Linked DNA regions of Kluyveromyces lactis. The protein of the gene in region 1 interacts with the protein of each later gene in a biochemical or structural test. Links are inferred from orthologs where the notes say so. Each region holds a gene or a part of one and is shown on either strand. Other genes may lie near its edges.

Region 1 (4,285 bases):
GCGCAAAATAATAGTTCTCGGATTGAAAAATGTGTTTACCTTTCATGTACTGAAGTGATTCACATATAATTATTTTTAACGCCTTGTTTTTCTCTATTCCTTAGTTACTGAAACGACACTTTTTTAAATTTTATCTTAATTATTCCAAATTTTGGTTGTAATGTATGTGTCTATATTTTGTATGTTCTTTTATTTTATCTTATTTTATTTTGTTGATCCTCATATCATCTCAATCCTCCTTTGAAAGCAGCATAAAGTTTAAATATTGAACTACGTTGTCTTTTGAAATCATTTCCATACTATTCCCTAAGCTTTGTGCTTAAAATACGTACAATTCATACATTGTATATTAAAGTCAGTCTACACATTTATTACAGCAAATATATCTGAGTATATTATATATTGGGAGGTGAACATAATCATAAAAGTTCAGTCAAAAATGGTATCTATAGAGTTTTGAGGGGTTGTCCATTATTGTAAAAAAACTGAGAACACCTGATGATACAGATGTGTGTCTGAGAAGAATTTAGAGATGATTGTCTCTTTGATTATAACCAAGTCTTCTTTTTCATTGCTTGTCTCTTAGCTTCTTTTGTTTTCTTTTTAATTTCTTCGAGTTTTGCTGCCTTTTTAGCAGGATCTGAAATAAAATCGGGTTTTACTATGTCGTAAAAGCATTCGAGGTGCAACCTCACGCAGTTCTGGCATTGCGGTTTCTCTTCTGTACATTTCTTCTTACGCAATCTACAGATCCAGCAGCCAGTTCTTGACCGTGCCCCCGTAGCATTTCTTTTCTTTATTTGATCACTTGATTTGACCATTTGCTCGTTAGAAACATCATTATTGTAATTAGATTCTTTAAACTTCAGTTGTTTGGCATGTTTGGAATTCGGTGACAATAATCCAGTGTGTTCAGTAGATAATGATGAAGACCTTGATCTTTTTATATGCATACCATTTTCCGAGATATCCGCAGCGGGGTATGCCGTAGTATCTGGATGGTCTCCAATCTCATTTTTAATTCCTGTCAATTGAGATTGATAATGTGGTGGGCCTGATCTTCTTCTGGACAATCTTCTTTTTCCATTCTTATTCCATGCAACAGTTTCTGGTGCCTTTGATCCCCCTTCGGTCATTTCGTAATCACCATCGCCATACCCGTCATCATCATCATCCTCTTCTTCCATTATAACGAGTTCATCCTGGTTGCCAGTCAATGGTCGTTGGTTAACCCGAAGCACTGGCTTAGGTAAAAGTCTTTTGGAGAACGGATTAAAGGCATTATTTTGGAGAGATTGGTTTGATAATGACGAATTCGGTCGGCTATCATGATTGCCAGAGCCGAACTGTTCGTTAAATGGGGGTAATGGGGAAGACCTCATCTGAGAAATGATTGCGGCAGCTTCCGCATCCACGTTGGAATCTTGATCATTCAAAGTTGGGTTGACCATTGTGCTATTATATGGATACTTGTTAGCCGACTCTACTTTCGGAAAAGCGTTTGAGGATCCTAATAACACTCTATTCCTTAACTCATCGAATTTTGTGTTGAAATACTTCGGTTGGTAGGTAATATGTGTATTATTGTTATTACTGTTTGCTGTGCTACCGTTATTACTGCCACTACTATTACTGCCACTACTAGAATTACTGAAAGGACCATGAACCTGATCGGTTTCGAACATATAGGTTGGAGAAACAATTCTATTCATGGTAGATGAGACCTGCGGGTTTTGATTTTGATATTTTGGATGTAGGAAGGATCCTGTGGAGTGAGGAGGATTTGACGCTGCTGAGGATGGGAAATGAATAGTGTATTCATTTCCTGCCGTAGATGGAGGGGGCGAGATTGATTCTGCTGTCGATCTCGAGTTTAGTAATGAAGTAATATTGATCTTTTGAGCTGAAATTGATGAGATGCCTGCACCCGGATCTATTTTCTCTGTGGAACAATCAAAATGTAGTCTTTTTGGAGTCATGGCGCTTCCTGTGGCATGCAGATCTCTATCACGGGAAGCGCTCGAGGTCTCAAGGATCGGCGAAGATGAAGGCGCAGCAATACCGCTCGCACCGTCATGTGAAACAGTTCCAGGATTACCAATGTTTCTGCCATTGCCCTTTTTGCCTTCGAGTCTATGTCCGCTTTGTCGCAGCATGCGTTCATTTTGATGACTACCAGTATCAGCTTGAATTTCCTCGCCCTTTCTTGAATCGTGAAGTGTTTCTGTTTCACTCACTTGACCAGAGTCTATCCTATCGTTGAACAAATACACGGGAGTGCGCGAGTCTTGATATAAGGTGCTACTCCCTTTCCCAGTGTTCGGCAGCGTATTGCTACTGGATATACAGATAGATGGTGTACGCGTATTTATTTTTGGAACATGTTGTTTATCAGCCGAAACCACGTGATCAAAGTCTTGGGTACCCGTTTTTTTCTCAAATTTCACGGCAACCTCCTTTTCCTCTTGCTTAGTCTCTCCGTAACGAGGAAGTGGCGGCAAAACCTCGGTTTGAGGCTTTGTCCCTGGAATCCCGGAAGGCTCTCCACGTGAAGGAGAGATAACACCCTGTTGTAGATCGTTTTCCTCCACAGGCGTATTATTCGGAGCAGCAGTAGGAGACATCGCTAAATGTATCAAGGGGTTGAGCCTTGGTGTATGTCGCAGCAGCGTTTGTTTTTCACCTGTTTTCACTCGTTGTTGTTTTTCGTTTTCTTGTTTTTCATCAATTTTGGTCACTTCCCGCTGGGCGGTTAGCTCCACTTGGGCGGCGTTTGTTTTTGAATGTTCGTCAGGGTAACTTGGCGGGGTACTTTTCTCCGGCACATGCATTTTGGAAGATAACGGAGAAGAGGAGGATAAACGAACAGAGTTCACAGCACGCCGCTCAATTTGACTTTTCTGACGAACCATCTATTCCGAAGGTTCTTTTATATTTGAAGAAAACTTCAGTCTAAGTTTCAGGCCAGCGCTTAGCGCCAAGAGTTTGTGTTACTCTTGAGTTAAAAAAAAACCGATTCTCTCCTCACCCCCTTATAAGACTCTTGAAACTAAACACAATCAGGTATTAAGCCAGGAGCTACGGAATGAGCGGGTTCGTAATTAGTAAGAGAGATTGAACCAGAAGCCTGTCAATTCATAGAGGATCGCGGTTTCAATGAATGTAAGCATTCATAAAGAATAAAAAAATAAAGTAGAGTATATTACAATAAACTAAAACAAGTAAGAGAAATCAAACATTTGTAAAATTCGATTTATATAAATAAATAAACAACGCCTTGGATGTGATTTTCGAACGAGATTCAATTAGGCGTTTTTTTGCCTTTTTTTGAGCGAAAAACTACAGGAAAACAAGCGCAGAAAACGAATCAGAAGGGAGAAAAGGGAAGAAAAAAGGGAACGGCAATGGTACTAGCCATCTAAGCAAGCTCATTGACCTTGCTTTGCTTCTCGGTTTTTTGTTTTTAGTAGGATATCTGAAGTTTGTAAGGTGCACTGCTGTTATACAGTAGCTGATTACATATGTAGCCCGCTAAGATGGTGGGTTTCTTTAATTACCCGTGGGAATAATTTTTGACTGTTTTTGACTTTTCTTATCCATTGGGCGTATCGCTTGACGAAAATTGTCTTGAAACTATTTTACACGCTGGAAAGGGAGAAAAAGATTTGAAAAGAGTAAAGACCATGTATTACCCGGTCATAATCAGTTGTTCCGGCTTAGTAACTTTTGGGCCCAAAGTCTTAATCGATTCAGGCCAAATATAAAGAGTTTTGACGGGAAACTAGAGTAAAATCGATCTAAAGTGAGATAAACTACTTTTGTTAATGTAGTATGGTATTTATAAAAATTAAATTATTGATGATACTTATCATATGGATTTGCTAATATACATTTGTTCCAGATAAGTTGTAGATTAAAAATAATTAAAAAGCACCGCTTATTCCTGCATCTTTTCAACTTTCAGATAGTCTTCTCGTCGTTGTGAAAAGTATTCATTCTGGAGAAGGAAGTAGTGTATTGTTCGAACGGATCGTGCACTGCTCTCTTTTCTAAATCATTTTCTGGATTGTCGACTCTGTCCTTGATGCCGAAGTAATGTCTCTTACCATATTTGTATAATTCAACGCCTGCCCAGAATGCGAAACTAAATCCGATTGCGAATCCCCATTCGTAACTGATATTGTAATGTAAGAACACTTTGTCGTTGATTACTGGGATATAAACCACTGGGAACACGGAACAGAACCCACCAACAATGGACCAAAACAAGAATTGATTGCTCCAG
Region 2 (3,529 bases), on another chromosome or scaffold:
GAAAAATGGTCTTGGAAAATTAGCTCCGAAATCGGCTGACTTAAGCTCATTGATGGATCCCGTGAAGATAGCAGAACAATCCATTGATCTCAATCTCAAGCTAATGAAATGGAGGATTGCTCCTGACATTGATCTAGAAAGAATAAAGAACATTAAAGCATTGATCTTGGGGTCAGGTACCCTAGGTTGCTACGTGGCTAGAGCTTTATTAGCTTGGGGTACTCGTCATGTAACTTTTGTCGACAACAGCACTGTCTCTTTCTCTAATCCGGTAAGGCAACCATTATTCAACTTTGAAGATTGTGGGCGACCAAAGGCCGAAGCTGCCAGTGACTCTCTGAAGAAGATATTTCCTTCTGTCGTTTCTGCAGGTTATCAATTGGAAATACCAATGATAGGACATCCTGTATCGAACGAAAGCAAGCAGAGGAAGGATTATGAAATTTTGGACGAGCTTATAAGGACGCATGATGTTATATTTCTTTTAATGGATGCACGCGAGACGAGATGGCTTCCCTCGGTGCTTGGACGAATGCATGAAAAAATAGTTATTAATGCGGCCCTTGGTTTTGACAGTTATTTGGTAATGAGACATGGCAACAATAATGACAACCTGGGTTGCTATTTCTGTAACGATATCGTGGCCCCAAGTGATTCTCTAACTGACAGAACATTAGATCAGATGTGTACTGTAACTAGACCGGGTGTTGCCCTATTAGCGGCTTCCCAGGCTGTTGAATTATTGGTGACATATCTTCAGCCTTCGACGAACGTGCTTGGGTCAGCTCCGCATCAAATACGAGGATTTCTAAATGAATTTAAAACTGTAAAACTTGAAACACCGGCATATCAGCACTGTTGTGCAAGCAATGAAAATGTCATTTTAACTCTAAAGGAAAACGGATGGAATTTCGTGAAACAGGCGCTAGATGATTATAAGTGTGTGGAGCAATTAAGTGGACTGTCGAAGGTGCAAGAGGAGGCTGAATTGGCAATTCAAGAAGATATTTCCTTTGATGACGACGAGGAATTGTCAATAGAGTGAAGTATAGCCAGTGCATCTGACAGGCTGATGCGTGGAATGATGTGACATGCATTCCTTTTGTGATGAAGCGTAGAAATCGATATTCGTCGTTAGGAAAAGGTGTTTATCTCTGATTTAACGGTCAGGATGAAATTTAGTTTTATAATTCCCAAGATAAATATAAGTCTTGCACAATTTGCAGCGTATTACGCCATGACGGGCTTGGTACACCTACATAACTGGGCCTTTTTCCGTGATCCATCAGCTTATACCAGGCATGTTTTAGATGTAGACTAAACTCGTTATCCGACTGTGGTGTACGGATGTATAAATCAACTTGAAAAATTACCAAAGCATACAAGAACGGGAATATATATTAGGTCGAGTAGACAGGATAAATAGTCACACGTAGACAAGATAAATAGTCACACGTAGACAAGAAGCTAAGCACCAAATGCCACCGAAGAGACGCCACCATGGTGCTGGAAGAGTCCAGAATAAGAGGGGAAAAGTTGACACTGTAAAAGAGGAAATCAAACCCAAAGATGAGCCTGTGGAAACTGAAATCGATGGCGGATCTGCAGTTGATGAAGATGTTACCGATGATTTAGAACACAAGACGAGCAAGGAAGACCAGAAGGAAGACCAGAAGGAAGAGGACGGACCTATAGATGCACAGAACGGAACTTCTGAAACAAAAGTTGCGGGGGAATCCGTAAAAACAGTGGAAGACAAAATCGAATCAGTTACAACGAATGAAGAGGTCGTTGAATCACCAGTCAATGACTACAATGCCAGTAGTACAACTACCAAGGCTGAAGAGAAACAATTAGAGGAAGAAGCAAATGAAAAGACGGATACATCTCCTATAGTTGAAAATGAGGTCGTTGATGAAGAGGCCGGCACAACAAAATTTGACTTTGATGGTCAAGAATACAGTTATAAAGACAGACCTAGTGTAATAGAAGAGAAGGAAGGAAAGATTGAATTCAGAGTGGTTAATAATGATAATAGCAAGGAAAATATGATGGTTTTAACAGGGTTAAAGAATATCTTTCAAAAGCAATTGCCTAAGATGCCCAAAGAATATATTGCTCGTTTAGTTTACGATCGTTCACATCTTTCTATGGCCGTGGTACGGAAACCGTTGACTGTTGTTGGTGGAATAACCTATAGACCTTTTGATAAAAGAGAGTTCGCAGAAATTGTCTTCTGTGCTATTAGTTCGACCGAACAAGTCAGAGGTTACGGTGCACATTTAATGAATCATTTAAAAGATTACGTGAGGGCAACATCGCCAATAAAGTATTTTCTAACATATGCGGATAATTATGCTATCGGGTATTTCAAGAAGCAGGGATTCACGAAAGAGATCACATTGGACAAGAATGTCTGGATGGGATACATAAAGGATTATGAAGGTGGTACCTTAATGCAATGTTCCATGCTGCCAAGAATCCGGTATCTTGATGCAGCAAAAATCCTCTTATTGCAAGAAGCAGCAATTAGAAGGAAAATTCGTAGCATTTCTCAATCTCACATAGTTCGTCCAGGTTTGAAACAGTTCTTGGATCTTGATAATATAAAACCCATCGATCCAATGACAATACCTGGTTTAAAAGAAGCTGGCTGGACTCCAGAAATGGACGAACTGGCGCAGAGACCAAAACGTGGCCCTCATTATGCAGCAATGCAAAATCTTCTCACCGAATTGCAAAATCATGCAGCGGCATGGCCCTTTTTGCAACCCGTCAATAAGGAAGAAGTCCCCGACTATTACGAATTTATTAAGGAACCAATGGATTTGAGTTCTATGGAAATGAAACTAAACGGGAACAGATACGAAAAGATGGAAAATTTCATATATGATGCAAGGTTAATATTTAACAATTGTCGTGCGTACAACGGTGAAAACACATCTTATTTCAAGTACGCAAATCGTCTAGAAAAATTCTTCAATTCTAAAGTCAAAGAGATTCCAGAGTATTCACATCTTGTGGATTAATACTAACGATAATGAAATACTAATTTGTCGATATCTTTGCGTACCTGAACAGTCTACATGGCGAAAGTTGGCACATATATATATGATATGTATAAATATACATATACCGAAAGTGTAACATTAAAAGGCTCAGAAGGAGCTCCTGTATGTATACAAGCAATCCATGATTAGAGAAATAATGAAATTTTATAATCGATTTTCTGTTGATTAATAACGTGTTTCGAAAGACAAGGAGTGTAATCTATCACTCCATTTCGACATCCGAATGTTCGGACCCAGGAGGCTTCTCCTCCTTTTCCTTTTCCTTTAACTCTTTTATAATTTCAGCAGTTTTCTCATCTGAATAGATTTGAAATCCCTCTTTTGTGATACTGCTCAATTGTGCATTATTTTCATCTAATTTCTCTTCCATTACTTGCTTTAAGATCTTTAACACCAGCGATTCCGCCTCTTTCAAAGTAAGCGATGAATGCCATTCGTTTTGTAATTCTGATTGTGCA
Region 3 (3,293 bases), about 360 kb from region 1:
GAAAGCGATTACGAGAAGCAAGCAGCACAAACCACAGTTGACATATTACTTGCACGACATTTGTGTCTGATAAATGAATTTACAGTAGTGATGAAAAATTTGTGTAAATAATTCACGCGTATATAACACCAGAGGTTGATAAACTCCATCGTTTAGATGACTTCACCAAGAACGAGAAAAGCCATACCCCGACCAGTCGTAACCACCAGCAATACAGACGAAAGATGTTCAAAAAGATTAGAGATAAGATTCATCCAACATACAATCCTGAGGGCATCACGTGGACCAGACGCAAGTCTGGTCCACAAGTGGTAGCCGAAGTACCAGTTGTTGTCGACAAGAAAACTGGACAGAACGGCAAGGCCAAGAGCAAGAGCAAGGATAAAGCTGCCGGTGCACTACCTTGTCATGACAGATACACAGAAGAGCTCGATGTCGAGCTCGTTGTGAAACAGCTCAGTTTGGAAGACGAACTGAAATTGGTACATGATGTAGCGATGGAATCCATCGTTGCGTCTGACATTTCATCACCGTCGTCTTCATCGACAACAACGGCTTCCTCTGACAAAAATGCTAAACACGTGACATCCAAAGCTTCGTCTACCGTTCCGCCCCACAAACAAATTACCGGCAATAACGCCGCCCCATCACGTCGGGTAACAAGTATGTATACAATTTTCAATTTGGAACTTTTTTTCCGACCCCCTTTCCCTATCGGCACCCTTTGCTCCATTTGTCCTTGATCCCTGCCTAGGTGGCCCCTGAGTGGCTTCCCTGCTTGGTTTCCTGGATGTGATCGGACTAACGGAGAAGTACTCACGAACTTCCACTTTTCCCTGGCATCCGGTTCCAGGAAAAACTATACTATTTGAACAAGCAATCTTCTTCCTATTAAGTAATACTACGAAGGGGCAAACTGTTCAGTAGTCTGGCTAGTCAGTTCCTAGATTATTCTGTCAGACAAAACACTTTTCTTGCTTTCTACGCATATACAAGGGAAGGCTCTCAACCCAGTCATGCTTTCAGGCAAAAAAAAAAAAACTATTTCGATTTCTCTCTCCTTCAATTTTCCAGTAAGCTGATTCGATACAATAAATGTCTGGACTAACAAAGCAATTTGCAAGCAGTTTTAGTTTACTCTTTCCGCTTAGTATTTATTGTCTGAATAAAACTTTGAGAAAGACATGAGGACATTGGAAAATTTTTCATTGAGCCAGACAAGAAAGACGATAAAACTGTTGTTTTTAACCTGATTCTCTCCCCCCCGCATAATATTTTGAATCGGTGTGCGCGTGTGTTTGTGAGTGCGTGTGCTGAATATTTTATTTTACTGGTCTTAGAAGACGTTGCGTGTTTGAAGTTTTTGGAAAATTTGGTGAAATTTAAGGTAAAAAAAAAAGAACACCAAGAACAAGACTTCGCATATAACAATTAACACACACAGACAGATCAATCACTTCTTATCTGTTGTGAGAGAGAAAGGATTCAGAGAAAAGTGTGCATGTCAGCATAGTTTTAGTACAATACTCCTTTTTTTTTTTGAATGAAAGTTGGTGAATTGCTCGAAAGTAGCGGTGCCGGTGGTTCAAGATCTATTATTGCATATACTAACGATAAAAACGCTGGTTTTGAGACAGAGATGGATTCCATTTTACCCAGTGATGATTTAAAACAAGGCAGTCTTCATAGTAAGAACAGTCATGGTAATGATGTTAAAATCGTTCCAGATGAAGACGAAGTAATAACCCGAAGGACTGTGGTGAAAGGCCATTCCAACCCCGAGGAGTCAGTTGTTATTTCATGCGGCACACCTGAAATTGTGGGAAATGGTTCGTTTGGTGTCGTTTTCAGAACAAAAGTGAAAGAGACTGGGGAGGATGTTGTCATTAAGAAGGTTCTACAGGATAGACGGTTTAAGAATAGAGAACTGGAGATCATGAAATTGATCAGTCATCCGAATTTGATCGATTTGAAGTACTATTTCCTTGAACAATCGGACCAAGAACTTTATCTAAATTTGATTGTAGATTACATGCCCATGTCTCTTTATCAACGGCTCAAAGAGTTCATTTCCTTGCATCAACCAATGGATCGTTACGAAATCAAGATTTACATGTTCCAATTGTTCAAATCTTTAAACTATTTGCATCAAGTGGTCAATGTCTGCCATAGAGACATCAAACCACAGAATATTTTGGTGGATCCAGATACTTTACTGTTGAAAATCTGTGATTTGGGGTCTGCTAAACAGTTGAAACCAAACGAGCCCAATGTGTCATATATTTGCTCCCGTTACTACAGAGCCCCAGAGTTGATCTTTGGTGCTACCAATTACACAACAAAGATTGATATTTGGTCTGCAGGTTGTGTTATGGCTGAACTGCTATTAGGACAACCCATTTTCCCTGGTGAATCTAAGATCGATCAATTGGTTGAAATTATTAAAGTTTTGGGTACACCAACCAGGGAAGAGATCTGTTCCATGAATGAAAACTACTCCGAACATAAGTTCCCTCAGATCAGACCGATCCCATTGAATAGGATCTTCAAGAAGGAAACACAGGAAACTATAGACTTATTATACCATATCATGAAATATGATCCTAATATCAGATACAGCGCTTTACAATGTATGTTCAATTCGACGTACTTCACTGATATCGTCAGCAACACCGGGTCGGACTCAAACCTTTCGTTGATCGATTCTTTACCATTGCTACATTTTGAGGAAAGTGAATTACAAGGGTTGTCATCTAACGATATATATAGATTGACTGGCAAACTGATATAGAACCGACAAGACAAAAGGAAAACTAAAAACAAAAAAAAAGACTAGTTGAGAGAAGGAAATATGCAAATACAAATGCATTAATGTAACGTTCTACCCAGCACATCCAAAGAAAATGAAATTAATACACGAAATTAATGTGCATACAAATAGTTACTTCTCATATGCCTACTTGTTGCAGGCAACACCGTTGTTCAATGCTATCCTACGCTCCCCCCCTTTGCATATCATATTTCTCTTCAATTTTAAAGTTCATTTCAATGTCTTTCGGAAAACCTATAGTTCTATCCTGTCCCTAATAGTGTTCATATTGGGCAGTGGATTCTTTTTATTTATGTTAAGCATTCCCTATTCCTCACTAGGAAAAGGGCACTTGGACATCATAATTCTTCCTTTTATAGCAATACTTTTCTTTCTAGCTTCCGTCCTACCTTTTTCATACCGGATTTCACCTTGTCAGTTCATAATAATATCAATACTCACCTATTAAGAGCCACATGACGTG

What was found.
Region 2: of the proteins of UME6 (region 1) and GCN5, one has a biochemical effect on the other in vitro, tested with the Saccharomyces cerevisiae proteins (2 studies listed by BioGRID). The link is inferred for Kluyveromyces lactis from reciprocal best matches to the Saccharomyces cerevisiae genes UME6 and GCN5.
Region 3: of the proteins of UME6 (region 1) and KLLA0_F17006g, one has a biochemical effect on the other in vitro, tested with the Saccharomyces cerevisiae proteins (2 studies listed by BioGRID). The link is inferred for Kluyveromyces lactis from reciprocal best matches to the Saccharomyces cerevisiae genes UME6 and RIM11.

Annotation. Positions count from the first base shown.
Region 1 is NC_006042.1:1,922,775-1,927,059, reverse strand, and holds UME6 (DNA-binding transcriptional regulator UME6), read right to left. Parts: upstream 2,913-4,285; coding exon 549-2,912; downstream 1-548. Other genes in the region: EBS1 (Ebs1p), read left to right, coding at 1-1; KLLA0_F20658g (uncharacterized protein), read right to left, coding at 3,961-4,285. UniProt on the Saccharomyces cerevisiae protein: Component of the RPD3C(L) histone deacetylase complex (HDAC) responsible for the deacetylation of lysine residues on the N-terminal part of the core histones (H2A, H2B, H3 and H4).
Region 2 is NC_006037.1:454,956-458,484, reverse strand, and holds GCN5 (histone acetyltransferase GCN5), read left to right. Parts: upstream 1-1,478; coding exon 1,479-3,029; downstream 3,030-3,529. Other genes in the region: ATG7 (Atg7p), read left to right, coding at 1-1,045; PUP2 (proteasome core particle subunit alpha 5), read right to left, coding at 3,274-3,529. UniProt on the Saccharomyces cerevisiae protein: Histone acetyltransferase that acetylates histone H2B to form H2BK11ac and H2BK16ac, histone H3 to form H3K9ac, H3K14ac, H3K18ac, H3K23ac, H3K27ac and H3K36ac, with a lower preference histone H4 to form H4K8ac and H4K16ac, and contributes to H2A.Z acetylation.
Region 3 is NC_006042.1:1,561,357-1,564,649, reverse strand, and holds KLLA0_F17006g (serine/threonine protein kinase RIM11), read left to right. Parts: upstream 1-1,543; coding exon 1,544-2,791; downstream 2,792-3,293. Other genes in the region: KLLA0_F17028g (uncharacterized protein), read left to right, coding at 225-743. UniProt on the Saccharomyces cerevisiae protein: Serine/threonine protein kinase that is thought to function in regulating kinetochore activity and entry into meiosis. Could phosphorylate IME1.